2 linked regions of the Struthio camelus genome follow. The protein of the gene in region 2 interacts with the protein of the main gene of each other region in a biochemical or structural test. Links are inferred from orthologs where the notes say so. Each region holds a gene or a part of one and is shown on either strand. Other genes may lie near its edges.

What was found.
Region 1: the proteins of GJD2 (region 2) and LNX2 form a complex in vitro, tested with the Homo sapiens proteins (2 studies listed by BioGRID and IntAct, with this or other methods). The link is inferred for Struthio camelus from reciprocal best matches to the Homo sapiens genes GJD2 and LNX2.

The regions. Positions count from the first base shown.
Region 1 is NC_090942.1:200,705,527-200,720,876, reverse strand, and holds the start of LNX2 (ligand of Numb protein X 2), read right to left. Parts: upstream 7,663-15,350; 5' UTR 7,531-7,662; intron 7,455-7,530; exon of another isoform or gene 7,320-7,454; intron 5,252-7,319; exon of another isoform or gene 5,155-5,251; intron 1-5,154. Other genes in the region: protein POLR1D, read left to right, coding at 8,350-8,375.
Region 2 is NC_090946.1:50,669,067-50,685,312, reverse strand, and holds GJD2 (gap junction delta-2 protein), read right to left. Parts: upstream 7,866-16,246; 5' UTR 7,603-7,865; coding exon 7,532-7,602; intron 6,880-7,531; coding exon 6,036-6,879; 3' UTR 5,076-6,035; downstream 1-5,075. UniProt on the Homo sapiens protein: One gap junction consists of a cluster of closely packed pairs of transmembrane channels, the connexons, through which materials of low MW diffuse from one cell to a neighboring cell.

The sequences.
Region 1 (15,350 bases), on a different chromosome or scaffold from region 2:
AGCCATGATGAATCACATGTCAGATCACTGAAAAGAAAGAGTGAAAAACTAGTGAAAGAAAAGAATAAGCACAGGGTTTGCTTTTTTCCTTTTTAAACTAATATTGTTTTTTTATATATCTATGTATATGTACAAACACAGCCAGAGTACATATTACATACGCTATTTATACATATATAAAACACATTTATGGTTTATTTATATATATATATATATATAAAAATATATAAAGCAAGCTACAAGACAAGCAGAATGCTAACAAGACTTTAACCAGAAGCAAGTCAGCTCTAGCAAAGAAATCCCATAATTGGTGCTTTGCTATAATCATATGATAACTGTACTGAATTTGGTTATGCTCCTGTAAGCAGAGTGAGGCAGAAGGGCTCTCATGCCTACACAGAACCCTATAAAGTCACAGGTACAGATTACATCATATAATCAAGCTGTAGGGATGACTAAGCAGGATTCAACATGTGATACATCATCTAAAAAGAGCATATATAGAACAGCAGCTATTTCTCATACGCATTAGCGCCTGCGTTTCAACTTTACCTGAATAGCAAGTTTTAAAGTATACATTGCCTCACCTACAAACAAGGCTTTAAAACACACCACCTCTTTTTAGCCTTGCCAAAGCCAATGTCACAGCTGAAACAGAAATCTTTCCTCTTTGACCCTTTGAGGCAAAAAAATAAAACAAAACAAAACACAATCGCAGACTAATGTTGATATTAGTGCGTCCTAACACTAATGGAGTTCTGTGAAATAGCCTACCTTCAGTAAACTTGGGGCTGTTATTTAAAGATGCATGATACTCGGTGTGAAATCTGCACTGTCCCACTAATTTTTGGCAAGCAACATTTTTAGGAAGTTGCATCCAAAAGTTCCTCGCCAAATATCATCCACTTCATAACGGCACAACATTTAGTTACGAACATTTCAAACTTTTCAAAATATTATTTAGGAACGCGTTGTTACCCTTTTACGGCATTTCTCCACTAGCACGGCATACATCTCTTAACAAAGAATAAAGAACTGTAACAGTTTCATTTCACACTCCAGTAATCCAGAGTTGTGCATTACTACTCACTTTAGTGCTAATTTTCCCATAGATTCTCTTTTTCTACTTACAAGACAAGACAGCTCAGGTCAAACGCACAGACAAGCTGTGCTGCTGATTCTCCTTTTCACAGCTACTGAATCACCTTCGCGTTTGCTTCACTGGAAAGTTATTTTCCCTATAGAACGCACGAGAGCCACAGTCAATAGATAAGTCAGCAGCTATCAGTCAGAATACATTTCAGAGCAGAAAAAAACTCCCCACAACCAAAAATGCCAGTATTATTTATGCAGGATCATGCCCACACTGTAAAAATATACCAAGGCAGCTTGCTGCTGTACACACAGTGAAGACTAATTCAGCTCATGTCACTTGCATCTATAGATAGACACATATTTGAAGCTACGGGATATTAAAATAACAGCATTGAGCAGACATGCTGAGCCATTCAGCAGATAACAGCTACTGAACAGTGGTTATTTTGCCAGATTAAGTAAAATGATATCTTTTTTTTTTTTTTTTTTAACCGGTGATTCTAAAATGAAACACATTTGGTTGTTTGTCACTCGATTTTTATGAAGCTTTGACGTACAAACAGAGCTAACATACACAACTTCATGAGACATTCAGATAAAACGTACAGACTCACAAGTACATAAGACTATCTGTACTTTTTAGCTTACTATAACCTAGATGAGATTACCTTACTTTCAGCACTTAAAAGGCATTAAAATAATTAAGAAGCAAATCTAAATTCTGAAAGCTTTCAATATCAAACATATATAATTTTATACGGCCTTAATATATGGCAGGAAACCCTGAGATTTTTTAAAGCTTCAACCTTAATTAGAAGCAGCAATGACAGCTTAGTTATGGACTACTTGTAGAAACGGTCCTGGAACTGATTTATGCTAATTTTTGATTAGCATGAAGTCAAGAAAAAGGCAAGATCTAGCACAGGGATACAGAACTATTTTCCTAGCTCATCAAGATATCCAGACTTGGTGGGCCTCATTAGGTTCCGTCTGTAACAGTAAAGGGCTGAGAAAACCCACCTAGAGCCAAGTAATTAAAAAAAAAAAAAAAAAAAGACAGGAAAAAGGCTGGACAGAAGGAAATCTTAATCAAACTGCTCGAGAAGCAGCTTGACTTGTTAGCTTTAAAAAGTTAATTTAAGCAACAATGCAGGCAGCTCAAGGAGCGGAGGGAGCTTGGGTAACAGCTTCTGTGTACACATGCTGTATTAAAGGCATAGTTAAAGCTACAGGATCACAATGGACTATGGTTTATACCAAACTCTTTAAACATGACCAAAAAGTTTACACATCACCTTAGTATCTGTCTATGTGGTTTTACGACATATCAATCAACTTTTCCTTACAGTTATTTCAGTCTGACTACATTTTAAACAACTTCATGAAAAGAAATTTCAACTGGAGAAAAATCATTGGTATGGGTTGGGGGGAGCAGATCTATAAAAAAGACATAATCCATTACCATGCAAGTAATGATAAGACATCCCTCTGCATGAAGTGGCAAAGGCTTTTACTTTGATTTCTTCTCTAATTTTTAATCCCCAGTTTTGCAGAAGCAGCCCATTACGATACCTAGATAAGTATCTAATTTGCGGCAGACATTCAGCGCACCACCCATGAGGCGTGTATGGACATTAACATCTCCAATGTCCTCCTTGAAATGTCACTTACTCTACTTGGGTAGGTGTAGGCTGACTCATGCATCACAACCGCACAGTGACTCTTCAGAATCTGTTCTCTGGATAGCAAAGTCATTGTGCCTCATACAGTGGGGAAAAGCAGGCATAGGATGGATTCTGAATGTATTGTTCTGCACAAAGATCGTTATTGAAGGTGATGGAAGAACAAACAGTCTTGAAACGAAAGCATGGTTCTCTTAAGAGGACCGTGGAGGGTTGCAGGTATTTTTTTTTCTTTTTGCTGGTGTAGCACGTAGCAATGTCAATTAGGAGAATGATTTGGATGACGTTGCTTTACCACCAGAAAAGCCCAGCAGAGGTTCTATTATACTGCCATAAGAGAAGATTTGCTGGTAAAGCTTATTTCATTTGCGGACTAATACCATGTACAGAGACAAAAGCCCACTCACGTTACGTTAAAACAAAATGCATCAAAAAAGCAGGTTTACTGATACCGGCCAACCTTTTTTTAGATTAAGACCTTGTTCAGGGATGCCAACCAAAACTGGATTGCCAGAAAAAAGAAAAGAAAAGAAAAAAACCCCACAAAACGTCTAGATTATGAAACGTCACTTATATATCAGGGAAAAAAAAGAAAAACCCACCATGCACTAGTCCTTTCAAAGCAAACACAGAATTCCTGTGGCGGAACATGATAGCTTATCCAAGTACAATACAACATCCACTGGAAACTATTTCCATGAACTGATTTCACTCTACAAGTTAGCTATGTTACCTGGATCTGCTGGCTTTGCTGGAAGTTGCCTATGTTTCTCCGAGCAAAAAAAAACCCTGCTGCCCCATCATTCTTTCTCCTATATGTCAACTCAGAGCTAGGATGAACACCTAGTCTGAAAAGCAAAGAAACCCATAAAAAGATAAGAGTTTAGAATCCTCTGACACTAATATTTTTTGGCCTTTCAGAGCCAAAATTTTGAAAATAATATCGCATTAAGAGAGGGCTGTCTGTGGAGGTGAGTAACCCGGATTCAAACAAAAATTGTATGCAAAGAAAAAGAAATCTATGTGACCGGAGTACAACTAAAAGAGTTCGTAAAGGTTCCCATGGATAAGAATATTGACCTGAACGTTACTGCAGTCAGTAATAAGCAACTGTGCTTATCCTGATTATTTTCTAACCATAACAGTGATGTGCTGACAGATTCCACTGGGCTTGTGCAAGCTCTCAGGCGACAACTGTGAGAACACGAAATTGTGAGGTTATCTCGCGAAGGAAAAGCCTATAATACACTTGAAAATTACTCCTACTGTAAAGAATTTATCAGTGCAAAAGTAGGTAGCTCGCGACTCATTTTTTCCCCAGCGTGCTGAAGAGTTTTTGACACCGCCACACTGTCCCAGGAAACCTACTCCAAAAGCCCTGCTTTGCCTTTACACAACTACTGTTTTTCTCCTCTTTCCCAACTACAGCTTTGTCCTCCTTTAACGCACACCACTTACACTCATGATTCACTCCTAGAAGCATTTTGGTAGGAACAAGGCAAATAATTCATATTACCTCTTCCTTCAATGCTATGGAACTGTTTATAACTACCTTTTACAATATTTTAAAACAGTATCTGTTCATATATTGGATATATTCCTCAGTGAAACTGAATTTTGCTCTACAGCCAAAGGTTCTACGTATAAATTATGTATACTCCATTAACTAATACTTAAGCATTAGCAGTTCTCTGCAATGAGATGTAATAACACATTCTTCTCTATGGCCCAAAGCAAATCAACTCTACCTTCCTGCAGACTGTCAGGTGAAAATTAACTTATAAATAATATTAATCTAGCACATTCATAACCTCACAATTCCGTTATTACCTGATTTGGTCTGTTTTGCTGGGATAACAGCAAGAAAATTCTAGACAGTCTTAAACTACCACAAATACAGAGCAACAATACAATTTGCTTACTTAAAAACGAGGCTGAAAACATTGTATCTTGCAGTATCTTAGCGCAATTTTTTTTTTAATTAAAATACTTTCTACTGATTAGATGGAAAAATTTCAGAATCATAAAACGGAACTTAAAATCTTGCCTAAAATCTTAAAACTTCAAAAGTTACCCGATTTTACAGCAAACAACTGCATCCTTACACAGCCTTTTGTTTTTACCATATAATGCACTAGCTCACTATCAGAGAGGCTCAGATTAGAAACCTCCCCTCTCTTCCCAGCCCAAATTCCAAAACAGAAACTGTCCTAAGCTATTTGTGAAACTAACATTCATTCAAATAAACATCTAAGAGAATGCAAAGGGTTGTCACCTAATCAAATTCAGATGATCAAAAACACTTCCAAAAATGAGAGAGATGTCTGTACCACTACAATGCACAAGTATGAAGTCAGCTCCTCTACAGTACTCCTACCATCTGTAAGGGAAGGAGACCCATGGCACGGTTGGGAGTTTCTCGTTACATGTCCATTGGTTAGCCAGCCCTCACTGCCAAGCCAGAAGTCATCTACCTATACGAAGTCATGCAAAAGATGAAAACAGTCAGGACGAAAATGGGACAGGTTTATCCCCCAAACTTTGCAAACATAAATCCTCAAGACATTCACGCACAGGCTGAACATCAAGCCCAAGAATAGACCCACCATATTCCACAAGAAAAACTTGAACTTTCAGAATTAAACATACGCATGAATGCCTACAGAATTGAGGCCATAAAAAGCAGAGACTACAATGTTATTGTCTTTTATTGCTCTCTAGACACCGTGACCTAACAATTACATAATTAAATAATGACACGTAAAAGGGTTTTCATCCTTAAAAGGCACTATGATTTCTAAACAAAAAAACTCCATTGACCTAATAAAGCAATTTAGAAGCATGCAATTCAACGGTGTCACATTAAATTGCTTTTCCAAACTAAATCAACAAAGAATTTTCAAATATCAAAGACAAACCACTGACTAGACCAAACAGATTTCCAGTGTCCTCTGGTGCCTCCATACACCAGGAAGCATTTTCATTCTGAATAAAGGTTGTTTTCTTATTACAGCTCTTAATATCTAATAGCTTTTTAAACAAGCAGCATCTTGCTGATTTATGAAATTAATGTATACTATTCCAGTGTCTAAACTACATCATATCCTTACACATTTCTTTTTTAGAGTGATATTGTAAGCCTCACTTCTGCTTCACGGTGGCTTTAAGTGGCTGTATTTAAAGCATTTATTAAGAGAAGGATAGGATTGAAAAAAAAGTCTAGCAGGGGAATATTCTGAAGTATTTTCAAGTAGACAGTTTTAACTGGAAGCTAACAAACTTCTGCTGTTTTTTAGTGATGCTGGTCCAGAAACGTATAGTGAGACTCACAGGCTGTTCAGTTCAGGCAAAGCCTTATGACAAAACAAAGTTTCACTAAGGTCATCAAGGCTTTTATGTGAGTCGGCTCCACACACACGCAAAAGCTTGCAATGTCAAAGCCAATATTTTTCTAATTATATATGATAGGCTTCAGTAGGCTTATTTTTTAAATTAACCTAACTGTTCAAGAGAACAAAACTTTTCCACCTAGTCACCAGCTTGCACTCCTCTTGCAAAGTTTCATTCCTAAATTGCAGCTTCATGTTTGAACAAATTTTAAAAAAAGGTTAAAGACCTGGGTTAGGAAATCATGTTGTTTGTGCAAGCCTCAGACCCGAGTCCAAGGCCCTGGGCTATCTGTCGCTGAAGTCAGTAGGGTAGGAATTTGTTATAGAAAACTCGGATCTAAAAATCAATGTGTAGGAGGTTTTTTTGTGTTTACTGAGATTTTAGAATTTTAATAACACAGAAGCTTAAAAATCAGAAATGTCATAAACTTTTATGTAAAAAGATTCCCACTGGACAAAAGGGCGTTCTTTGCAGTTTCCCGAACTCGGGGTTTATCGTTCTGCAGCGCTGCGTTTAAGGAAGAGAAGACTCCTCACTCAGTGAGCTTCAAAAAGTAAATGCTAGAAGGGCCCTATTAAGCCTTACGGTCCCAGACAGTATGCTTAAATACCTTGTTTCCACCCTGAGGAAATCTGTTTTAATAAAAGTCACGGCGGCATATGGCAGTACTAAGGTGGTTATTTTCCGAGCGGGCAGGGACACTAACTGAAACCATCTGATGTTTCTTCCTAAGCCTCCTTGATCTGCTGCTGGATCGCAGCTTAGAATAAAACATCACGAGGCCACAAGGAATTGGGTAGCGGAGTAGAAATCGGTCGGTCCAGCTGTTTATTTAATAAGAGCCTAGCTCAGAGCAGCTTCTCTTTTGAACAAAGAAGCTCAAACGCTTCTATGATTTATTTCCAGAGGGGGATCAACGACACCCCAAAGCCAGCGCGTAACAGAAACTCCTACTTTGTACGCGAGCGCGAAAGAAAACCCACAACATCGTGTAATTAAAAAAGGAATTAGATGGGGCCCAGCAGTACTTAACCGCGGATTTCTGGCGCAGTGCACAACCAGACGGGCTGTGCATCAGAAACGCGGCAGGCGGAGCCGCAGGGGGCTGCCGTCCCCGTCCCCGTCCCCGTCCCGCCGCCGCCGCTCCCCCACCTCGCCGCCGCCTCAGCGCTGCCACCTGCTTCGCCAGCCGCGACGGTTTTTTCAACGCGACAGACGCGACCTGAACGAACACCGGCCCCGGCCCGCCCGCCCCAGACTTGTTGCGCCACGAGGCAGGCCCGGCCCGAGCAGGCCCGGCCCCGCTGCCGCCTCCGGCCACCGCCCCTCAGCGGCCGCCCAGCCGGGCAGGGAAGTTACTCACCGCCGCCGGCTCCCGCCGCCGCCGCCGCCCCTCAGAGCGGCGCCGCGCTCGCCTCCATGCCGGGCGCGCAGAGCCCTCGGGGCCGGGGCCGGCCCAGCCCGCCCCGCCCCGCCTGGCCCAGCCGCGTCCCCGCCGCGCCGGTGCCGGTGCCCCCGCCCCGCCGCGCCGCGCCGCGCCTCGCCGGCGGCAGCCCCGGGCGCGGGGGCGCCGCAGCCTATGGGAGCGGGCGGGGCGGGCCGCGCCGCAGCCCCGGGGTGGCCCCGCCGCTCGCCTGATCGGCGGCGGCGGCGCGGGCGGAGGGTGAGGGGCCCCCGCGGGCAGCAGCGCCGCGGCGCGGGGGGCGGTGTCGTGCCCCGGCGCACCCCCGCCGCCGCTGCCCCAGCCGCCGCTGCCGGCGCTGGGCGAGGAGCCCCCAAGCCCGCTCTTAGCCCGTCCCCGGCCCCCGCTCGCCTTAGCGGAAAGCGAGCGCGGACAGCCCCGGTCGCCCCGTCCCGCCAGGACTGGCGCCAGAGTTGCTTCCCGAGCCCGCCCGCCCGCAGCAACTGGGCGGGGGGCGCTGAAGGAAACGGCCCCTCTCGGGCGGGGGCAGGCGCCCGCGGCAGCCGGCGGGGAGGGGCAGCGGCGCCGGGGCCGGGGCCGGGCCGGGGCGCGGCGGGCGGGCGGGCGGCAGGTGCGGAGGGGGGAGGGGGGAGGCGGCCGCCGGCCGGCACCGCCCCGGCTCCTCCCCCGCGGGGTCCTCGGCCGCCCCGCCCCGCCCCCGCCGGCCGCCAGCGGGACATGGCGGCGGCCTGCGCCTGAGCGGCGGCCGCGGGCCGCGCCATGGAGGAGGACCCGGAGCTGGAGAGGTGAGCGGGGGGCGGCGGGCTGCGCCACCGGGCCTCGCTGGGCCGCGGCGGCGGCGGCGGGAGGAGGAGGAGGAGGAGGAGGAGGAGGAGGAGGAGGAGGTGGTGCCGGCCGCGACCCGGCGGCCTGTGAGCCGCGGGGGGCCGGGGAGGCCGCGCGGGGTGGGCGGTGCGCGGCGGCCGGCTTCCTCCCTCGGCCTCTTCGGGACGGAGCTTTGAACCCTCCCCTCGGGCGCTGCTGTGCGAAATAAATGAATTTTAAATGAATTTTTTTCCGGCGTAATGTGAAAATATATACGTGTATCATTGCTTGAAAAGAAAAAAGTCAAATCTCCTCGCAATGCTGCTGGTACTGTTCAGGAAGAAGATTTAAAAGCATTAGCTGGCTCGTCTCTCATTAATTGGAAGTCAGCAATTAGCCTCACTTGCTAAAATCAAAAAAAAATAAAAAAAACACACAGTTAAACTTGTACTCTAGTCGGTTTTGGTTCTCAGCGTTAGAGATTTGCCAGCTGACCAGCTGTTAAAATGACCCGTTTCTTGTATTATGGCAAAATGTTTGCGGTCGTTTTGTCAAAAAAGGAACGTGCTCCGTGCCTTGCGGTTTGGCGTGGATGAGCCGATGTGTTTTGCTGCGCGTGCTGAGCTGTGGTTGAGCTGTGGTGTTCCCAAGCAAACATTGCGGACTGAAACGCACGTTTCTCTCTCCGAATATTCAGTCCTCGCAGGCGTGCCTTACTCCTGCTTTACTCTAAGTATTTACAGCACAGGTAGATCTTTTCTTTTGATAATCATGCTATTTCTTGCAGGTTTGTCTAGAAGAAATGATTAACGTGGTGGGTTTTTGACATGGTTCCTTGAGCTTCGCTCCACTTTTCTAACAGGCAGAAAACTTAGGGGACAGCGATGACTAGAGGCTTTCTGAACCGTTCTTCTCGTGATTCTTCTCCTTGACTTTAAGAGTCGGTAGAAAATAACTTGTTTCTCTCGCTGTTTATATTTAGCAAGTATTTTAAATAGGACAAATGTAATAGTGTTGGCGTGGTGGAAGGCATAGAGAGCACAAAGCTTTTTAAGAGGCCTTTAATTCTTGTACGCTACCTCCCCTTTCACATCATCAGTACAGAAATTCAAGTTTCTTTCTAAATATGCAGGAATGTTATTTTTATGACTGCTGTTCCAAATTTATGCCCCCCTTTTTAATCATATCAAATCTAAACTTTGTCACAGCTCCTTCCACGTTCTGTCTCTCTTCTGGCCGCTGCTGACGTGCCGGGGACTTGTGGTTCTCCAGGCAGTTTGGGGCGTAGCTGCGAGAGATTGCTCCAGAGTCTCTTTCTGACGCTCTCCTTTCCACCAGCCAAATTTGCCTCTTATTTCAAGCTGATGCTGAATATACTATTCCTGTTTCATGGCAGTAAGGTAGATAGTGAGGAGGAAACTGTGTATTATTTGCCAGAGGAGGCACAGAAGGGTTTAACTGTCCTGCACCTTGAATCCATGCTACATGTTTAATCAGCTCCTTGCATATTATATATACAGTATAGTGAACTTATTGGTTACTGTTTTCTATCTTGGATCTGTCTTACACTTCTTCATTAGCTAATTACTTTTTCATGCTCTCAGTATTCAAAAAAGCTCTTTTTGTTAGTAGCACCCTTAATTCAGTTCACACTGTGTGCATTTAAATGTCGTATTTGAGCATTTCCCATCACACTTCTCCATACAGTCCCCAAGAGTCTAGTGTTGACCTCTCTTTATCCTTTGGCTTACAGACATGACTCGTTAGTCTCATATCCAGCTACCTGGTGATCATACTCACGTTATGTCAGATGTACAGCTATGGCAGTTAGCTTTCGTAATTTTTGGCCCTTTAAAATATTGCTTTGGCCTACGAATAATGGCATTTTTCTTCTGCAGCCACAGCATAAATATTTTAGGTAGATTTTTGATGTTTCAAAAACGTTTTTATTTGGAATATTTTTCATCGTATTTATCTCAGTTTAGTCTTATCTCAGTGCACGAGTCTTCAATAACAGTGTAAGACTTTTTGTATGTGTGGTTTTAGTTAATGTAGCATAAAAAAAAGTTTGTAACTACTTTAATGCAGGTTCTTTCAGGCCTAAAGTGCATTTTGTCAGGTTTCCAAACAGCGATTTATTGAGAGGAGTCAGTTGTCCCAGTTTTTTGTGACCATCTAAAGAGAAGTCTCTCTGTTCTGCTTGTTCGGTGTTGCTTCTATTTTTCCATTTTACAGTGTCTGGCTCTCGCTTGATCTTGTGTTTGATGTTTTTCTCGCTTTGATAGAAAGTGGTAGTCACTACCAAAGCTGATGCTAAGTTGTGTTACCATGTGACTGTTGCGTACCCTGGGATTTAAAACCCTAAAAGCTGTAAATACTTCAAGTGTGTAAAATGTTAAGCCACGTTCTATTAATATATAATTCAGAGTAAAATGTATATGATCCTAGAGGAAGTAGGAAAAAAGGTTACAAATCAGCTACTGAGAATTGTTTATCTTATATTTTCCCTATAAGCAGGTGTACTTACTTTTCCTACTTAATTCCTACTAAATGTCCTTTGGGGTATGATAGAGGTCACTATTTTCTTCCTTATCCAAACAATTCCCACCAGCTGTCTTCATGGGTCTGTGTGTTCAAAGCACAGAAAATACGTGGTTAATCTGGCAATATAAAGGAAGTGGCTTTGCTGTGCTGTGTGTCCAGATTCTTCCATAATCAATTTCGTCTCTCAACAGCTCTGGATATTTCACAACCTTTAGTATCATAGCCTCTTAGAATTGCCTGTCAAGCTTGCTTGGAGTATCATGTACTTGGAAATAAGCATCTCTTAAGGAGATAACGTTCTGTACACAAGAGCTGCATTGTGGACAATCAGTAGTCTAGTACTTTTGCTGTCCCGATTATAGTTTCCAGCAAGTAAGTTTTGTGCCTTGGAGAAATTATTCGACAGTTCTCACTATTCTTTCTGTTATTTTTAAGTTAAAAATCTAACTGTCATGTTACTTAGTTCAGTATGTAATTCTTTCCCATATTTGTGGCCAAAAAGGTGATTTGCAAGCTAAAGTCGTTGTTTGAAATTTTGTGGTATCCTCACTCCTCAAAGCCGTTGAGAGTATCAGCACGGAAATGTGCTGAAAATAGACTTAGCTAGGTAAGAAATAATCCTGGCCTGGGGAGAGTTAGAGCATGAGCATGCCTGATGTGGAATATCTTTGCCTTTGAACACACGGTAGAAAGTCTGTGGCATATTAGTGCCTTTTTTTATTCTTGTTCTTAGTTGTGGCTTAGGCTTTCTTTTTGATATCCCTTTTTGTCAGTGTTTGTAATAAATGTGGTCAAATAGGACAAATTAACTCGTAGGAGTCAATTATACAAACATTGGCCTTTCGTGTCATTCTTCTACTGTAGCAGGCAATAGCTTCAGTCCTTGGCTTCATGGAAAGTCTTGATATCTAATTTTTCAGAGATAATCTGAGTACCAATGGCCCCTTTACTTTGGATCCTGCACGCACTCAAAAATAGCGTACATAGTCAGCGTAGAAGTACTTTGATAAAATTGATGTAGAAACTGGCTGTTCATTCTGGGCCTGTAGCTAGCTCTCAGGACCTAGAGTACTTCAGAAAGTAGATTTAAGCATTCAGTGATTTCAGAGATCACCATAGCTCAATAACCTAGCTTTTCAAGTTGAACGTTACTGGTATAGACTGCAGTTGATTATTAATGCTACAAAGGTCTTTGGAGAAGATCTATTTGATAAAATGTTCTCTTACTCTGGGAGATGTTGTACAAAATTGTATCTGATTATTGCCCTCCTGCTCCCAGATCTGTGCATATCAGTAATTGATTGTGTGCTGTGAAGTAATTCCAGTAAATACGTTGCCGGTACAGTTCTCTTGGGGATCGTTGATGAGATGATGGCATGGGTAGGTATGGCAGTGCTGTCTATAATTAAAAGCATCCAGTCTTCTCTGTAGTCATATCCTGTTCTCATTGCCTGTAATTTTATGTGTATCTGTTTATCTGTATCTGTTATTAATTGTGTTCATTTTTTAATCTATATTTTTGATCTTTTTCAGCAAAAAGGTTAACCCTTTTTCTGAACGACCGAGAGAAAACATGAATGATTTTACTTGACTTTGCGGCCTTTAACATTCTCCCATTGTTCAGGCACGTGCATTTGTGGTACCAGTTGTTAGAGTTTATGCAAGGGGTGTTTTGCTCATAACCTTAGAATATAGAACAGAAGTCTGATCCCTAAGGAATATGAATAGACTTTGGACCATACTTTCTTGTAAAGATAAAAACACCCGTATTTATACCTTAATATTATTGTAGTTCTTTAGGGAAGTTTGATTGTTCAAAGAGTATTGCCACAGCAAGTTTTTGAGTGCTACTTGCTGTTCTTGTCATAAATGATGCTGGAGTGATGACAGTGTTCAGAAATACATCCCTTCCTTCCCCCTCAGGCCCCCTTGGGAAGTAGTCAATTAATTACTGCAATTGATGTTACCTGCAGATCCCTCTGTGTATAGTGTCTCATGTGAAAATTGTGTGCTGTGTTCCCTTTGCTTATATTGCTGCTATGGGTGTTGAATCTGGCAGCTACGGGAATGTTTGTGTAGTAACCACGCTGTAAAAATGAAGACAGCTAGGAATGCTGAGTCCTAAGAGTCCTTTAAAAGCGAATGTAAAAACCTGGTTTGAAAAGCTGTAAAGCTTTTGACTTACTTGTATAGAGAATATAAGTTCGGCGAGTGGACATTCATTACTTCAAAGATGATCTTGAGAATTCTTCTCTCATCTTTATGCTGCTCAGTTGACTTTCTGTGCAAGTCAGAAGGGCTTTATAGAAGATGAAGTAACTAAAAATAATGTTAAAAGATAAATGTTAGGAAAATTAACGTTGGATAAAAAGGGAAGATCTCAACTCGTAAGGCTGTAACGATGGGTGCCAAGTCAGTCTGATCTGTGATATAATCAATCCAAAATAAGTACGTCTCTCATATTTTATGGCTTATAATTTTTGTATAAGTTAATAGAATTTGTGTCACCATATTAACATATTGTGATGCTCCACTGAAACTGTACTGCAGCTCTTTAAAATATATATATTAGAAGTGCTTTGTAGCTTGAATGCTTTGGGCTTTAATTTAAAAAAAAAAATAACGGCGGTTCAGTTTTCATGAATGGCTGTACTGGTTATGCAAAATGTCCTGGTGATTGTATATAGACTTAAAAAAAAAAAATTCCCAATATCTAGAGCCCAGCTGTTGCTAAGATCATACTGATAACCTCACGTAAGAGAGAGACTCTTTGTGACGAAACTTTTAACCAAACTACCATTAAAAATTAGTGAATAGAAAAGTGATACTATAATTTTTCTTTAGTGCTTTCCTCTAGTGTTGGCCTCTAGTGTGGAAGTTATAAACACCTTCTGCAAAGCCCTTCAAATGCACACTATCAACCAGAGAAGTTATAATTTGAGAATATTTGCATACCTCTCTGGCACAGATCTCAACTTTTTCTAGAAGGAAAACTGGCTGTGTGGCAGAGCTCTGAGGGTTGTGATCGGTGGCACAGTCTAGTTGGAGGCCTGTAGCTAGCAGTGTCCCCCAGGGGTCAGTACTGGGTCCAGTCTTGTGCAAGTTATTCGTCAGTGACCTGGAGGAAGGGACAGAGTGCCTACTCAGCAAGTTTGCCGATGATATAAAACTGGGAGGAGTGGCTGATGCACCAGAGGGCTGTGCTGCCATTCAGAGGGACCTGGACAGGCTGGAGAGTTGGGCAGAGAGGAACCTCATAAAGTTCAGCAGAAGCAAGTGCAGGGTCCTGCACCTGGGGAGGCCTGACTCCGTGCACCAGGACAGGCTGGGGAGATGACCTGTTGGAAAGTAGCTCTGCAGAGAAGGACCTGGGAGTACTGGTGGACAAGTTGACCTTGAGCCAGCAATGTGCCCTTGGGGCCAAGAAGGCCAATGGTCTCCTGGGGTGCATTAGGAAGAATGTTGCCAGCAGGTGGAGGGAGGTGATCTTTCCCCTCTTCTCAGCCCTGCTGAGGCCGCACCTGGAGTCCTGTGTCCAGTTCTGGGCTCCCCAATACAAGACAGACATGGAGCTACTGGAGCGAGTCCAGCGGAGGGCTACTAAGATGATGAAGGGACTAGAGCATCCCTCATATGAGGAAAGGCTGAGGGAGCTGGAGAAGAGAGGATCTGATCAGTGTGCAGAAGTATCTGAAGGGAGGGTGTCGAGAGGATGGGGCCAGACCCTTGTCCATGGTGCCCAATAACAGGACGAGAGGCAACAGGCACAAACTGAACTATCTGAACATGAGGAAAAACTTCTTTACTGTGAGAGTAACTGAGTGCTGGAGCAGGTTGCCCAGAGAGCTAGTGGAGTCTCCTTCCCTGGAGATATTCAAAAGCCGGCTGGACACAATCCTGGACAATGAGCCCTAGGTGACTCTGCTTGAGCAGGGTTTGGACTGGATGATCTCGAGGGGTCCCTTCCAACCTCAACCATTCTGTGATTCTTCCACTAAAACGTTGCTTGCTGGAAATAATTATAAAGTGATGAGGTAGTTCCATGATACATGTCTGTCAGTATAAAATTTGAAAACTGTGTTCATGCAAAACTGAAAAGTAACTGTAAAAAGAGTAGCTATATCTTGTTGTGTATTACAGTTGGACCCATTTAGCACCAATTTGTTTTCCATTACCAAGGAAAACCAAGAAGTGCCCAAAGGTCGTGCAGACAGAGGAAAAACTCTGTCACCAGCTGATCCTAACAAATGGAAGTATCCTTGATCACTAGCGTTAAGGGAGCCAGTAAAGGTTTATGTTAAAACCATAACAAACTCAAGAAGGTCTTAACTGACAGATATAAGCTGCTGTATAACTGCATAAAGTTCTCTCATTAGCTACTGAAAGAATGTCTGAGCTGCTTATCTTTGTTG
Region 2 (16,246 bases):
TTACTATTCATGATGGCTTTGGGTGGTGTAATGTACCACTTCGTCTCTTCAATGAAAAAGATGAAAAACGTTTGCTGAATGGTTTCTAAAATTATTTTTATTACACAAGAGATACCGCAAGGAACCTTGTATAATTGCTCATGGATGTATTTTGAACATGCTTTTATTCCTAAACTGCATAGGCAGAGAAAAGTAAGTCCACAGCCCACCTTTCTTTTTCCCTTTAATACCTACAAATCCATACTTTTCCTCCATTCCCCATTTATTTCCTTAATCTATATCTCTTTATAACCTGCTATTCCAAAACACGTTATAAAATTCCTGCCTAATGTTCATTTTGCCAAAAAGCTTGTAGGTTTAATAAATAAAGCTTGTGATTGAAAAGGAAACCACTTTCTAGAGGGACAATGGTGCAATACTGATGCCAAGAATGTTTTGCTTTAGCACTCTCCAAAAAGATTTTGCTAACAGATTTAAAATAGTGTTAACAATTTATGACATTTTTTCAAAAATAGGGACTGATTCAGTTTCAGCCAGCATTTTTTCCACCTTTCTTTGGGAAAAAAGTGCTGAAAAAAAAACTAATCATGATTGCACCAGACTTTTCAGAACATATTTCAAAAATCATGGTTATTTTTAATTATGTACCACAAAACACATTTATAGAGAAATTAAGTGCAACAAAATTCTGCTTTCATTGATAGAGACCAAAAGTCCCAAATTTCTTAACACTTTAGAATGCATTAATTGTTATCCAGGTACTAGTAAACCTTTATCTGTCCTTCTTTCCAGACACACCACATACTGGAAAAGAGACTTACTTGCATGTTCTGTTGAATCTGGGAGATACTGGGGGGAAATTAAAGAGGGTAACTGTATATGTGGGTTTTCACAAGCTAGAGATCTAGTTCATCCTGTACGTCTGTCACCATTAGAAAAAGCTGATAGATTTTAGTGCAATGAAATGCATGTCTCTCTTTAGCTGTAGCTTAGATATACAACTAATCAGTTAAACTTGCTATAGCAATTCGTGTAGCCCATAGCCCCAGAATTTACACAAAAAGGGTCATCATAGATGTCTTTGGGTGTCAAATGTCCAGTTAGAACATTGCAGAGTACATACATAGATTATTTGTGTGATTTTTAATGGTCCCTTTGGATGCAGGACCTGTTCTGTATCCATCTCTGAGATTTAGTCCATAACATAGCAATATAATTTAGATTAAACTCCTTTAGCAATCTTGCATATATTTACATATATTACTTTTATATTTTATTTTTGGTTATATGGTTATTCTATATATTATGTGGTTATTATATATTATTATACATGTTTTTATATATATAAGATATACCATTTATTAGTAGTACATTTCTATATAATTCTCCATATCATCTGACTGCACTTACTTCATACTCCTGATTGACTGCTATAATGCAAGTTAACAGAGAGAATATGAAGTACTTCCTAATGCAATTTTTCTTCACAGATATCCTCAGTGTTTCAGTGTGGAGGGAAATAGGTTTAGAATCTGGCTTTAGGCTTACTAGATGATACTAACCTTGTAAAGTTTACAATAAAATATAATACCTGGAAAAAGTACACCAAAATGTTCAGGAATGAGTGGGCAGTACAGAAATAAGGTGATCTCTTCTGTTAATATCATGAAATAATGGAATGGAGTTTCTCCTCAGCTGGAAATTGACTTGGTGCCACAAAAGACAAAGTCCCATTATTGTTGAAAGAACAAAATCAGACCCTAAATGAAGAAAACTCTGCCTGTTTTCTCCCTCATGTTTCTCCATTTTTTAATCCCATTTCTATATTTTCAGATCAAGCAAAAGCCTCTAACAGGTTTCACTGAAGGAGTAAGGGGGAAGAGAATATTTACATTCAAACAAAATAAAGGCACAAGGATGCAGGGACAATGTACATCTTATTCATCCTCTTGCCCTACAATAAATGTAGCTATACCCTTAGCTGTGCATGAAAAAGTCTTCCTCACATTTATCCTTAACCTTTCATCTACTCTTTTCCTACAGTCCTACATATCAACAGCTCTGTCCGACCCTATTAGGTATAAGGCAGGACAAGCGTTGAGCCCTTTCTGGAGTTTCTGAGCTTTCCTGACTTCTGACTTCTCTGGTGCAGAACAACTCAAAATCAATCTCACTTCTTCCTTGATATGTTCATCACAGATTCACAGAATCACAGAATGGTTGAGGTTGGAAGGGACCTCTGGGGATCATCTAGTCCAACCCCCCTGCTCAAGCAGGGTCCTCTAGAGCATATTTCTCAGGATCGCATCCAGGCGGGTTTTGAATATCTCCAGGCAAGGAGACTCCACTACCTCTCTGGGCAACCTGTTCATCTCACTTGATCTGCTCATTCTGCAGACTTTCTTTAAGAAATACAAAAGCCTTTATATTTCTTCAAAGTCAATGGTCTATAAAGCTGAACTAATTATAGGAACAGTCAATTCAAGTTACCCCCGCAAAATGTAGTGTTCATCGTGAAAAGCAATTGCTAGATATTTTTAAACCTTTTTACTGTATGTCATTGCAATTTAAATATGTCTTGTAAAATAGTTCGAAAGCACTATGTAAATTATTTTTGAAATTCCCATTGGTTTGAAAAGCACAAGATAAGGGCTACATATAAGTTAAATAATCTCCATTGTTTTACATGATATGATATTAAAGTTCCACAGAACCAATATTGCATTAAATGCTATTGTAGCTTTCCAAAAAAGCTTACTGATCATAAATTTTATGTTTGCATTTATCATGAGATACACTATTGGCCACCAGTACAAAACAGGATATGCAATGAATGAAATAAACGTAAACTGAATGCTTATAGCTAATGTCTGATTCTTCCATGGATATCAGTGCTAAAACTCTAATTGATTTCAATGAGGCAGGATCAAGGCCTGAGTAGGCAGTAATGTTCCATTCAGTGTCACAGTCACTCGGTTCTGTTTAGTTAACACACTTTTCCATTGCTGTGATAATTTTAAAACATTTATTCTGTAAATGAATAGTCTGCTCTCATGCAAACAGTCCATTAGCATTAATCATATGACTCTGACATAATGCATTGACAAAAAAAGAGTTTACGCTATTTCTCTTGTTCATGACAAGCAGCTGGCAAGAAAAGAAAAATGATAATTGAAAAGGATGACTAGAACAACCACTTTCTTGATATTATTTCACTTCTCTTCTGAAATAAGAAAAGCCATATACTGTTTAGTGAAAATATTGAGGATTACATTTCTGTTCATCCAGATATGAATGTTTGCCTAGGTTATCACTGATCCTGCTGCATAAATTAGCATCTATATTTCCTTACATATTTCTCTCACAAAATTCTGAATACTCCCAACTTACAGTAATACAAAATGTGCAACTGCATAAAATAATGGAATGAACTGAGTCACTGAAGCTAACTTTTATAAACAGACCCTTTCTTCGTCTTATCTACAGGATTTTAAGGTATTAAAATCTTGTAGCTATCAAGACATGCACGTTCACTAGTTTTGACTAAATACTACTTTGAAGCTACTGAAAATAACTCACATTAGGGCTTCTGCATAACAGAAAATTATGCTAAACCTGATCCAAAGCCCATTGAAGTCAGTAGGAGTTTTTTCCTCCAACTTTAATTCACATTAAATTGAGCCCTTTGCACACAATCTCTCATTTCTTCAGCATTAAAACAATGCTTATTATGGTCAAACAATATTTTCCCCTTCAACTTCTACTCCAAAGGAGATTTTGTAAAACATCCCCGGACTCTGCAAAATGAAAGTCAGACTTGGATTTGCGTGTCAAATAATAATCTTTAGAAGCTTGTTACATTGCAGATGGAGATTTTAGCTGCCATGTTGTACTTCTAAAAATAACATGCAGTTTTCCACAGTGAGCATGCAGTCAACTAGCAATACCAGTGTGCTTTTATATCACAAAGAACCATTTGACAAATCTGTTTTTGTGGGTTTCTGTAATCAAATTGGAAATACTATTCTTTTTTGCATATAAGGAAAATTACTTTTAAAAGATTTAAAAATATGACAAAACTCAAAGTCTTATGTTTCAGAGTGGAAGGAAAAAATCCACAGATGAAAGTGATAATATATTGTGTAAGCATTAATCAACATTTTTTTAAGTGACAATGCTGGCAAATGATAAGAATGAAATGTTGACATATCTACTGTGAGCTAAGAAGAAAAGATTTATATGCATGGTCTTTAGGCAAAAATACTGTAAAATCTATTATCTGGTCAAAATAAAACACGATCAAGAGCCCATTTGCAAGTCTGAGCCCCTATCTCCCTGTCATGTTATAAAGTATCCCCAAACTTTCCAGCACCATTTTGGCCTTTTTCTTTTAAGATATCGTTTACTTAGCACTTGTATTGTTTCTGAGTCCTGATCCAACTCCTACTGTTGCCATTAGGATAGTTTCTGTCGACTGCAGTGGTAATTAAATAAGGTCCTAGAGTAAAACTTAGTGTCCTGTAGTAAAATGATCACTATTAATAGAGATTCACTTGTGACCACCTTCGTGTCGATGGGACATGAACAGTGTATTTTTTGAACCAGCTGGAAGGCAGAAAAGCTGCAGTTGCTATTTGGATTCTCCGATGAAGAGCTGCAATTGTTTCAGTTATAGGTAAATGTACTCTGCCTCTTCCCAGAGTGACCTTGGCAGCCAGCTGTGTTGCCCTTAGCATCAGCAGAAAGAAGGCTGTTGGTATCAGTGGGCTTTGGATCAGGCTTTAAAGACAGGGAAGCATTGCTTAAGGGGGAATACAGACATAATGGATAGCCCTGATTTCCCAGGTTTTGTCCCTTAGTGTTCAGGATATCAACAAGACACTTCAAACCCTAAAGAGTGATTATTGTAAGTCAATTATTTCGGCCTCATATGTTTCTGTAACTGTATATAATAATAAAGAAGAGTAAATCTCCCTAACTTACAAAAAAAGGCAAGTACTTTATTTATCAATAGAGATTTTAGCTGCTTTTTATACCATTGCAATGACTGAACAAATAGCATAAAATAAGCAAAGGAGAGTATAAAATCACTTTATTCCAGCTGGTATCCCAAAACAACCTTTTGTACAGAGTTAGATGTTTCAAGTATGGCACTTATATAAATAAGAGCAGAGAGAAGGTGATATATTCACAGTTAAAAGCAATGAACTCTGTTCCTTTGGTATGTGTGTCATCATAGGTAACTGTAGGTAAATACATAAGCTTGCTGACATGAACCAGCTCCATCTTATTTATGCACATATTAGGGAAAAAACTGAAATGTACTGAAATATTTTGTAGGTCACAACTAATGTAAGATGATTAAGGTCTCTGGTGTGTGTGTGGACAGGCAAACAAAAAAAATGGCAAAATTATATTCTGCATTTATTGTTTAGCATAACTAATTGTTGTACAAACTATGTTAGAAAATAGCTAGTAATACACACCAGAAATAAATGCTGTGATGTGGACAAACAAAATAATATCAGACATCCGTGAAATAGGTGTGCACAGATGTCCTGATCAAGCTGTGGTCAGGTTCCTAACAGTGCTGTTACCCTCCTTTTTAAACATGCTTACATTTGCACATTGCAACAGTTTCCCCCACCCCACCCCATCCCATATAGAGTATCCTTGCAGATTTTTAATAAGAACATTCTACACGTTTACAACAATTAGTCAGACACAGCCCAAACTGTAGTCTCATCCTAATGATGATCAAAAAGCTGCTCCATCGAAAGATAACACCCAATCATTAGAAAGAAAAAGGATAATAATAGTAACTGTGCTGTAAGGCTAGATCAAGCATGGTCTTATAGGTGTTTTTTCAGTCTTTTACATAGCACTGCATTTTGCATCTAGTTCAGTAAGTGCAGATCCAATACCTTAATGGCTTTCTTGGTGGTTTGATAAAATGCTTGCCTAAGCAATGTACCTTTCTCTAATGGTGTCTGGGTCTGTTCCACCTGGCACAGTGTTTCAGTTCTGTCACAGCCTCACACATAAGCTGAGTCACTTGACTGAGTCCTGCCAAAGTTAGGCATGCTCATTCTTGGCAGGTCCTTATTTCTGATTTCATATATGGATTTCCTTTTTGCCTGTACTCCTCTCACTGCCATTTTGATCTTTCTCCAGCCCAAGTGGTTCAGTTCTGCCAAATTGAGCACCACACAAATCCCACTGACAGCAAACATGAATACCAAGAATACAGTCTTCTCAGTGGGTCTAGAGACATAGCACTCTACTTCTTTAATGCAAGGGTATCTGTCACATTCGTACATGGAAGGGACATTGAATCCATACAGAAAATATTGTCCCACTAAGAATCCAATCTCTAGGGCATTTCGAAAGACCACTTGAATGATATAAAATCGAGAAATGCCTTCTTGCCGCCTCATCTTTGACTTTGTAGTTCTGATAGCAGGATTGGGGATTTCCTTCACTTCTAAGCAGTCTGGTTCTGCCTCTTTGGTGGAGTTCTCGGTGTTCTGCAGCACCCCATTGACAATGGTGTTCTTGATTTTCTTACTGTCCTCACGCTTCATTGAGTCCTGGTCCCTCTCCAAGGTGAGGAAGACAGTGGAGTACCTCCGTTCCCTCTGCTTAGCAGACTGGTGAACAGAGTACGTTATGAAGCAGAGGCTGGGAGTGCACACCATGATGATCTGGAACACCCAGTACCTTATATGAGAAATAGGGAAAGCCTGGTCGTAACAAGCCTGATTGCAGCCTGGCTGCAGCGTGTTACACACAAACATAGTTTGCTCGTCATCGTACACCGTCTCCCCTACAATGGCCACAATGAGTATCCGGAAGATCACCACCACGGTCAGCAGGATCCTGGAACAGAGAAGCCCGTCAGAGCGCGCCGCTGCCCCGCGGCCGGGAGCTGTCCAGTGCTGACCGGGCCGGGGCCGGGGCCGGGGCCGGGGCCGGGGCCGGGCCGGGGGTCGAGGCGCCGCGGGGCGCCACGGGCGGCCCGGCTAAAGCCCGGCAGTGGCGAGCGCGGGAGCGCGCCGCGGGCACAGCATCGCCGCGGCGCGCTCGTGTGCGTCCGTACGGATCACCCGCGGGCAAAAAGCTCAGGCGGCCGTCAGCCCACCCCCGCCCCTTACCGCGCCTGCCTTTGGAGAAAAGGCCATCAGATGGACCGCGTGGGCCCCCGAAAGCGCGGAAACGCACGGCACCCGGCTGCCCCGGCGGCGGGACCCCGACGGCGGCGGAGCGCCGCCAACTTCTGCCCCATAGTTGCCCCACTGACCCCTGGCTCCTCGGGGACGGGGCGGGCGTTGTTTGCACGAGCCCCTCGCCTCGGTGACCTATGCCGCGTATACACACACACACACACACACAGGCACAGAGAGAGAAACGCCACACGGGAGTGCTGCCCCACACGGCCGCGAACCCAGCCGGCTGGCCCCACTGCCCAACCCTTCCGGACAGGGGAGGTGAGCCCACCGGAGCCTCCCCGAAGCCTCCCTGTAGCCCTTACCTCCCTATCATAGTAGAGTGCTGCTGCACGGCAGCTTCCAGTAGCCTCTCTAGAATAGTCCATTCCCCCATCGCTGTTCATCCGGAGACAAAGACTTTTGCAAGCGGCGGGGATCTCTTCACTTCTTCCTTTTTTTCCCCTCCTTTTCCTTTGAGGGGTGGAGGGGGAAACAAACAAACGTGCAACCCCCCTCTGCCGACAGCAGTCCGGTGGCGGGGAAGCGGTTGGGCCCGGCAGCTCTCCCGAGGACGTCCGGGCCGGCGTGGCCCGGCCTGGCTCGGCTCGGCTCGGCTCGGCACGGCTCGGCTCGCCTGGGCTGACCTCGGGGCCCCGCGGCGGCCGCTCCCGGCCCGGCCCGCTCCGCTCGTGGCGCGGCGCGTCTCGGCGGAGCCCGCGCCGGGGAGGGAGGAAGGTTGGCTTTTAATGTCTTGCTGCCTCTAATCTGCCTTTAAGTAGTCTCCGCTTGCGTCACTGACAGGTTGGTGGAGAGCAGCCAAAAACAGCGCTAGGATTTTCTCATTTTTATTATTCTGGTGAAAATAAATGAACATATAAATACAATAAAACCGAAAAAAAAAAGAGGAGGAGGAGGAGGAGGAGGAGGGCGGGAGGAAGAACTCTCCGCGCTGGCACGAGGCTCGTTTTGCCGCCGAGTGCCTCCTCGCAGGCGGGCAGCGCCGCGCTCCCGGCCGGGCGCCCGCCCCCGCCGCGCCGCCGGGTCCCGCTCCCGGGCGCCTCCGGGCCCGCGCCGCGCCGAGCCCCGCCGGCCCCCGCCGGCCCCCCGGCCCCGGCCCCTGCCCCGCGCACCGCCCGCCCCGCCGCCGGCGGCACCGGACCACCCCGGCAGGGCCCCTTCCCAGGCAGCCCGGCGGGGAGCAGGCGCTGCCCCTCGGATGCTGCTTTGAAAACTTCCTTTGGGGTATGACTGTGACGCTTTGGCCCCTCCAGCTACGAGCACCTGGCTGCCAGCTGGAATTCCCGGGGGGCTGGCAGGCTTTACTGCCCTCCCAAAGTTTGACCGTGTTTTCTGCCACCCACGAAACAGTGGTGTCATGGAGCGATAACCTTACCTATTAGCACTGCTTACCCTTGGAAGATATTGGACTTAAAACTGCATTTTCATTCTCACCTGATTACAGATGTGTGCACAATATAAGCATCTTTGGGGAGAAATAAAATGCATAGCCATTCCAGAGAATTCGGAGCTTGAGGGTGGATTCATGCTAGGAAAGTCACCAAACCTTCACATAAATTATCTATAAATTGTGCAAGAATAAAGTGTTCTGGATAACTCCTTGCATTATAATCAGTCCACATATTTTATCCACCTGAATTATTATACTGTGTTTAAAATGCTATTTTCTATTTTGTTTGTACCTTCAGGGACTGAACTAGGGGTACTACAAAACAATTCCCCATAAAACATTGACACCAGCTGGAATCAGCTACTTTACTCTCTGATGGGGAAGCCTAGTGTGTGTTCTGTATTCTTCCATGAAGACCAATTACAATACCTTCATACCTGCTGTTCGCTTTGCCCAATTAATCTCATTTAAAAGCAACATAAGAAAAACAAGAAAAGTCGAATCACAATCTTCCTGCAGCCAAACTCAGTAAAAACAGACTGTTTCAGTAGCAGAACTGCTCAGACCACTGTAAATAGTGTAGTCCTTTGTGCTGCTTGCAGCTCTTTCATGAACCAATTCTAGCTTGTGTTAATGACATCAAGTGTTTTTTGAATAGATGGGACTAAGCTTCATCTGTTTAGAGGACATCTGTGTGTTTTAGACACTCCAGGGTTGGCTGCCTTTTCAGTTGGAGAGTGCAGATAGATCTCTGAGTCACAGGATACTGGGTCTATTGCCTGATTGGATCCCCTAACCTTTGAATTGGGAAAGTATCAAATGAGGGAAGAGCAGTGTACAGAAATAGGTAGATTTTTCTACCTATTCTACCTATTTTTCTCTGCACAGAAATAGGTAGATTTTTCTTCTCTCCCAGTCAGGGACCTGTGAAGAAGCATTCAATAATCTGGATTGTTTCCTTCCCACGCTGTTGGGAGTTACTGGGCAGACTGAGTTATCACTGTCTTTCCTTGAAATCTTACTATATTTTTCCTGAAAGTTGGTTCTCACACTTCCTGCATTTGTTTTTTATGTGTCATTTGTAAAATCTCCAGTTGCCTGCAACACGACAACTGAAAAAAGAGGGCATTTCTCTTTTTTTTTAAGTGGAATCTAGTATCTGGCTAAGTACCCTGACAGTTAACTGTGTCATGTGGACCCCGAAGCATCTGTTTGCAGATGGATCTGAAAATGAGAGAAATCAAAACAGTAAAGGGAGCAGTAATGTATGTGTAGAAGGAGAGAAAATGGGGAGTATAACAAGAAGCTGATGATGATAATCCTATTTAGCAAGACCAAACAGTGAAGGAAAGCCTATGGCTGAAATTACTGAAGAGAGGGGAAGAGATTTTCATTCACAGTCAAATATAAGAATTCCTATAAAGGAAAGCTATTCTCCAGCACTGGGATAGAAAAGCCATTTATGTGAGTTTTTATGACCAGGAAATAAAAAATAATCAAATTTTGATCAAATCAAATGCTGAACTTTCAAGGAACAGTCACTTAGTGCTTGCTGTGTGTGATCAGTTCTACTTTAAGTTGATAGTCCGGCTGTGGAAACATGGAAGAAAAATATCATCAATGAAAAGCTACATTATCATCAATGTTGCAAGCCTGTAAGCACTATTTAAAATAGCTTTTGCTGCAAATAGAGTTTAAAGTTAAATACTTTCAGGCATGTTCTTGCAGGAGCTGCATCTCAGTCCAAAGTAGATGACCTATCTTTTCTAACAGTAATCTCATATTCCCCACCAAAACCATATTCATGCGCAAGATAATTGGCCCTAGCTTTGGGAAAGCTTACTGAGTTTCAGACTTCAGTGACTTTGGAGAAAAAGAAAAAAATCAGTGTGAAAGTCTTTTTTGTGATGCCAGTGTACATCAAAAATTACTGGAAAGTTCAAAGGAGTTTGAGCTTTCACGAACTTACATATACAGTTTCTAGAACTATGAAGTGCTGTCTTTAATTAGAGCTCTGATGTACAGTGACAACTGAATTGATAAGAATCGATGGTGATGCTCTCCGAGTGTTTAGTATAACACTCAAGGGTGTATGAAAACTGCAATTATTTGCACTTCCATTATTAGTCACATGCACATCAGCAACTTGTGGACTTACCTGACAATTTGTCTAAACAACAAAGTGCTCTGACTAATCATGGTCATGACTGTAAGGGAGAGTTGTAGACATAAGAAGATTTTCAAATTCTGTAGGTTCATCTTAGGTTATACACCATTCCCCTGAATGCTTCAGCCTGTGGTAAAGCCAGGATTTGAACAGCAGCAAGCTGCCAAGGATGCTATACATGTATGTTGTATACATATGGTATTCACATTAGAAAATCATGCCTACATTTCATTCACAAGCATCCAGTATTATCAAAGCTTTGTCTCTCCCATGTTGCAAAGAACTGTTCCATAATGAAGTAGCAATATTGGATTGTAGCATGTCTTAATCAGTCCAGTTCAATATTTTGTCAGTTGAATATAAAGAAAATAAAATTAGTTTCACAGCCTATCTAAGGATAGGTTTTTAGGCAGGAGGGAGTGTTTTCGCTTATTTTTCTTTATATTTAAAAAGAATAAGTGTTCCACTACAGACAAAATTCAGTATAAACTCTATCGTTTCTAATAGGAGCTCAAACGACCTTTTCAAAAAGAAATCAAGACTTCAGAGTCTTGTTCATGTTCATGCTCAGATAGGACACTGGCTCAATGTTAATTCATGTTAAAATAATATAACCAACTTGATCTTGGATTAGGTTTGAAGAATGAGACTGTATGCCTCCTCAGCTTAGATGCCAAACTGAGGTTAATCTGTCTCTAAGAAGCTATAGGCCAGATCCTCTCTGAGAAATCCAGCCCTTTTGCTCTGCTCTGGTTTTGCAAAGGGTCCAGAAAGCAGCCAGATCTCTCAGGCTGCACGTTTCAAGTACAGAGCTGATCACACTGGGAACACAGGTAACGCAGTTCCCTGCAGCCTAATTGTGGATGGCATGACTGGGGTGGGACAGGGACCGCATGGCTAGTTTCAGACCCACTGTCAGATAGCTATAAATCATAGCATCCCTCCACTTTGCTATTTTCTATGCTGAGGTGAAGCAATACAAAAACAGAATCTAGATTCTACACAAGCATCCCTCACCTACTATCTCCTATTAAAAATATACATTTATCTCAAATTTATTCCAAATATTTTATTAAAATAAGACCTCTCACCTTTAGTACTTTCCCAAGGACCTTTCTTCCTGACTTGTTTTTGTAGTTGTTTGTAGTGGATGCATACCTGCAGCAAATAAATAAATGCTAGGTTTAGATTTGAAAACTACATGGCAAGTTACTGTATTTCATTGTTACATTAAAAAAACTGTTTCTACCAATTGTAGTTACATTTTAGAGACCCCAGAGATGAGCATTAACTTGGAGCAAAGAAAGAAATTTTAATTAAGAGCTGCAAGTTATTACTCAGATCGTGGAAAATGATAGATTTTTTTTTTTTTTAGTTTTTGTGAAATCTATTGCCCCACTTCCACTTTGTGATTGCACTTTCTAACTAGTTCCTCAAAGCACAGACTTTTCAGCATTACTTTTATAAAAATTTATTTCAAACAGTGATACGACAAGTACTTCCTTTCTGACAGTATTTGGTATAATCCACAACATCTCAGTAGTTAGCTACTAAACCGAAAATACCCATTTAAGACCTCTCATAGCCATCTGCTATGCCCTTTTTTCGTTTGGTGCCATGTGCGTATTAATGAAATGATTGCATCAGATTATATATTTTATTCATAAAACCATCTAGGTCAGCTGCCTCCACCTCTACTTTCCCTCTCATTAAAATGAACATTTGTGTGTATGTTGTCCCCTCAGTGTGAGAGTGCAATCCTAGCAGCAGTCAGCTGCTGTGTGCATCTTAAAAAATAAACCCCTTTCTGTGCTTTTTCTTAAATCAAATTTCTTCAAAAGATAATGCTTATAGTCACACCACACCCTGGAGAGTGCATTTTTCCTATAGTTTGAAAGGTGAAGAATTCCCAAAAGGTGCAAGATCTGGATACACTTATGACCAGTATCCTCCACAATAAAAAGCAACAATTCAATAACACTATCATTTTGCTGCTAAGAAATAGGTAACATGTTCTTCACATCCAGCCTTTGCATCAAAACTGTAAGCAGCAGGGCAAGCACTCCTGTTCTTTGTTGTGAGAATGGACTGCAATCTGCTTTTATACACTTCATGCTTGAAAGCAGTAAGGCATCAAGCTCACGGAATCCAGGGCTTTGTGTTGTGCATAAACAGACAAAATAGTCAGTTATCCTAATAATCCTGCCAAGGCTCTGTTATGAGTCAGAGGTCCGTATTTACAGCTGAAAGTTGCTACAAATAGAGAGGTCTTCGGTAAATCAAGGATATTATCAGTAAAGAAGGAATAAATGTGCACATGCATATTCACAGACATTTTAGCTAAGGGTTCATATCTTATGCTGAATTTCATGCAAGTGGGTTTAGTATAAGAAATATTAATGGTGGGGGCAAGTGCTAAGTCAATATTGCAAAATGTTCTGAAGAAAGAGAATTTAAAACATCTAAATGTGATTGCTTTAACTAGAAAACAAATTAAAAATATTGAACTTTTCTAGTTACAGAATATTTTATGCTTTGACAGATAAAATCATTCAAGTTTTGTGGAAGTTTTGTCACTGTTCACATGGGCCTTCTCATGAAAAAATTAACAGCTCAAGTCAATTTCCTTATAAATAATTTGGATATTTTGAGTCACAACTGCATTTACTTCTGGCATACATAGAGCTCCCAATACAGCTGAGTCTGTGCTCCTTATAAACTAATGAAAGTAAATTCCAACTTGTCTGCAGACAGATTGCAGCCAGAAGAAGGAAAACTTCATTGAAAACATCATCCTTATGAACTGACAGGCTCTGGAAGGAAGTACAGAAGTAAAGAAGTCCAGACGCCAAATCATTAGTTGCCCATCTCCTGTTATTCTCTTCTTTCTCTCACCACTGTCAAAAAAGCATTCACATTCTGCTAAAGCATCCATTAATACAGTTTCATGGACTGTGACGGATTTGTATTTGATGCTATTAGATAGTATAAGTGTAAATTTGTGACAAAATCTAACATGGATTCCCATTATAGTCTACATTAGGGTTCCATACTCACTAAAGGAAGAGAGCCTTTCAAAATACTTTGGACATAGACTAGCCTGAAGGATTCTGTATAATCAGATTTAGTAGCTATAATATTCATTGTAAAGATAAAGAGAAATATGCACATACTAATGTAATAATAAATTCAATATGGGAATGATTTTTTCCTAGAGTCTACTCTTTCAAAGATGCCTATTCAGAAAGACAGGCAGCACCATGCAGCTGACTATTGTCTGGTAAAATACCAGTCGATTACACAGCCACTGTGCCAAAACTGATACAGCATATTGGCTCAATTCAATTTGGCAAACCTTATATTCCTCTTTTCTTTATGAATTAAAAGGAGTTATGATTGGTAATCAAAAGAAGCTAGACTTTATTTTTAATCTACGTTATAATATCTTGGTCTCACGCTAGTCAATTTTTATGGTACTAACAGCAAAATTCCCACTGACTTTAGTGCACCCAGAATTTAAAAACCTTTATGAGCTGATTTACATCAAAACATTTTAAAAATCTCTAATGGCCAAATACTGATGATGAGAAAGTTAGTGAGAGTTTCAGAATATCGAGAATAGCAAAAAAAAAGATCAAATAATAAGGACAGGGTCCTGTATATTCGAAATCTAAGTAGCATTTTGAGGCTTCTCCTTTTCCCTAGAAAAAGAATAATTACTTATAAGAAACCATTCTTCAGTATTTCAGTATGAATGCACTCATATGATGCATTTTTTTTCAGACCTACTGCTTTGCTTTGCCTTGTCTACATTTGTCTTCATCTGAATGCTGAATCTCTGTACTCCTAGCTGCTTTCGATTCAGTGACATGTTTTATGGCAGAATTGCTTTCCTTTGTTATGATTGTTACACCACCATATGTCTTCAGTATTCCTTCCCATCGCTCCCCATCTCACCAGTCTCAGAAGAGAATTCACATTACATTAAAGCTTCCCTTTGGAGGCTATGCTGAAACAGTCCCTTGAAATAAGTAGGGCAGTGCAATGATTGATTTGAAGGTAAACTACTTCAGTGAATGGGAGTGAGAAGCAGGAGCTTAGTAAGAAATATAGAGGTTTTTAAATTCGTCATTCAAAGATTCCACAGTTACAATAAAAAGGGGAGACAAATATTTGATATACAATCCATTTATGTACATGCAAACACACAGGTGCATATGTGCGTAAATGCATGTATATGCGTGTGTTTTATAAATAGTGTCTACTTGCATGACGGGCTTGTCCTGAAAAAAGAAAAAGAAAATAACGTTTAACAGAAAATTCCATAGGAATTCCTATGCTATAGGATTGTATGAGACAATTTAAAAGACACATGTGGGGACAATATAATTAAATTCCATATGATTCTAGACATTCTCACAAGTAAGGCCCTATGTAAAAGCTATTGAGCTATGCTTTCACTGACTTCAGTATGTGTGGATCAGGATTCAGGATTATATAGCAGTGAGTTTGAGAGAAGAATCTGATGTATTCTCCAGAGTTTACTCACAGAGTATTTAAAATTGTTTTCTTCTTTCAATTTTAAAAAAGATATAAAAGTGACAATTCTTTACTCTAGAATTTCTATAAATCTCCACAGTTTCATTAGGAAGCACTGGTTCATAGACCCATGCACATCTGGAATTTCACAGGTGGTGATTTAAATTAGCAGTTTTGTCAGTTCCACAACTGTTATTAACAAACAGCATCTGCCCAGTCCTGAGGAGCATGTTTTGTTTTTGAAACACCATTTGTTATCCTTTCCTAAACAAAAAGTTTTTGAGGATGTGCATTTCATTAAATGTTTGTAATGTTTCTGTCCCAAATGGAGCAAATACAAATTTGGAATATCAAAATTTTCTGTGAATCAAAAATATTGAGTTGCATAAAGTTGTGGTCACGCTCTTCTATTTCTTTTATCCTACAGAAAATTGAAATGGTATATGTTGATTTAAGATCTTTATGTTGTGAAATCTTTGATTCATAACTTTTCTTTCAGAATCTATCAGAGAGCATGTATTTTTGACTATGCTGCAGGAAAGTTGTGACATAAGTAAGAGGAAAAAATAAATTAATTCTTCAATAAAACATTGCAGAACACACACAATCATGCATTATTTATTTCTGTGCTTTTCCTAAAGAAATTCAGCCCTGTGCATAATGTTGGTATGGTACTGGAAATTAAACTTTATTTTTCTGGATAACAGAGAAACCCACGTAATTTCTCACATAGGTCACAGTTGCTCTAGGGCTGCACTGATTTACACACATCCTATGCAAATCTGCCCTCATTTTTAGCTAATTACTTTACATTTTTGATTTGGAAATTCTGCTGCGTAGCTGTTTGCTACCCCTTTCATATTTTTCTGTACCAAAGTGGGGACTGTTTTCCTATGATAAACATATTTATTTGATACCTTGCTC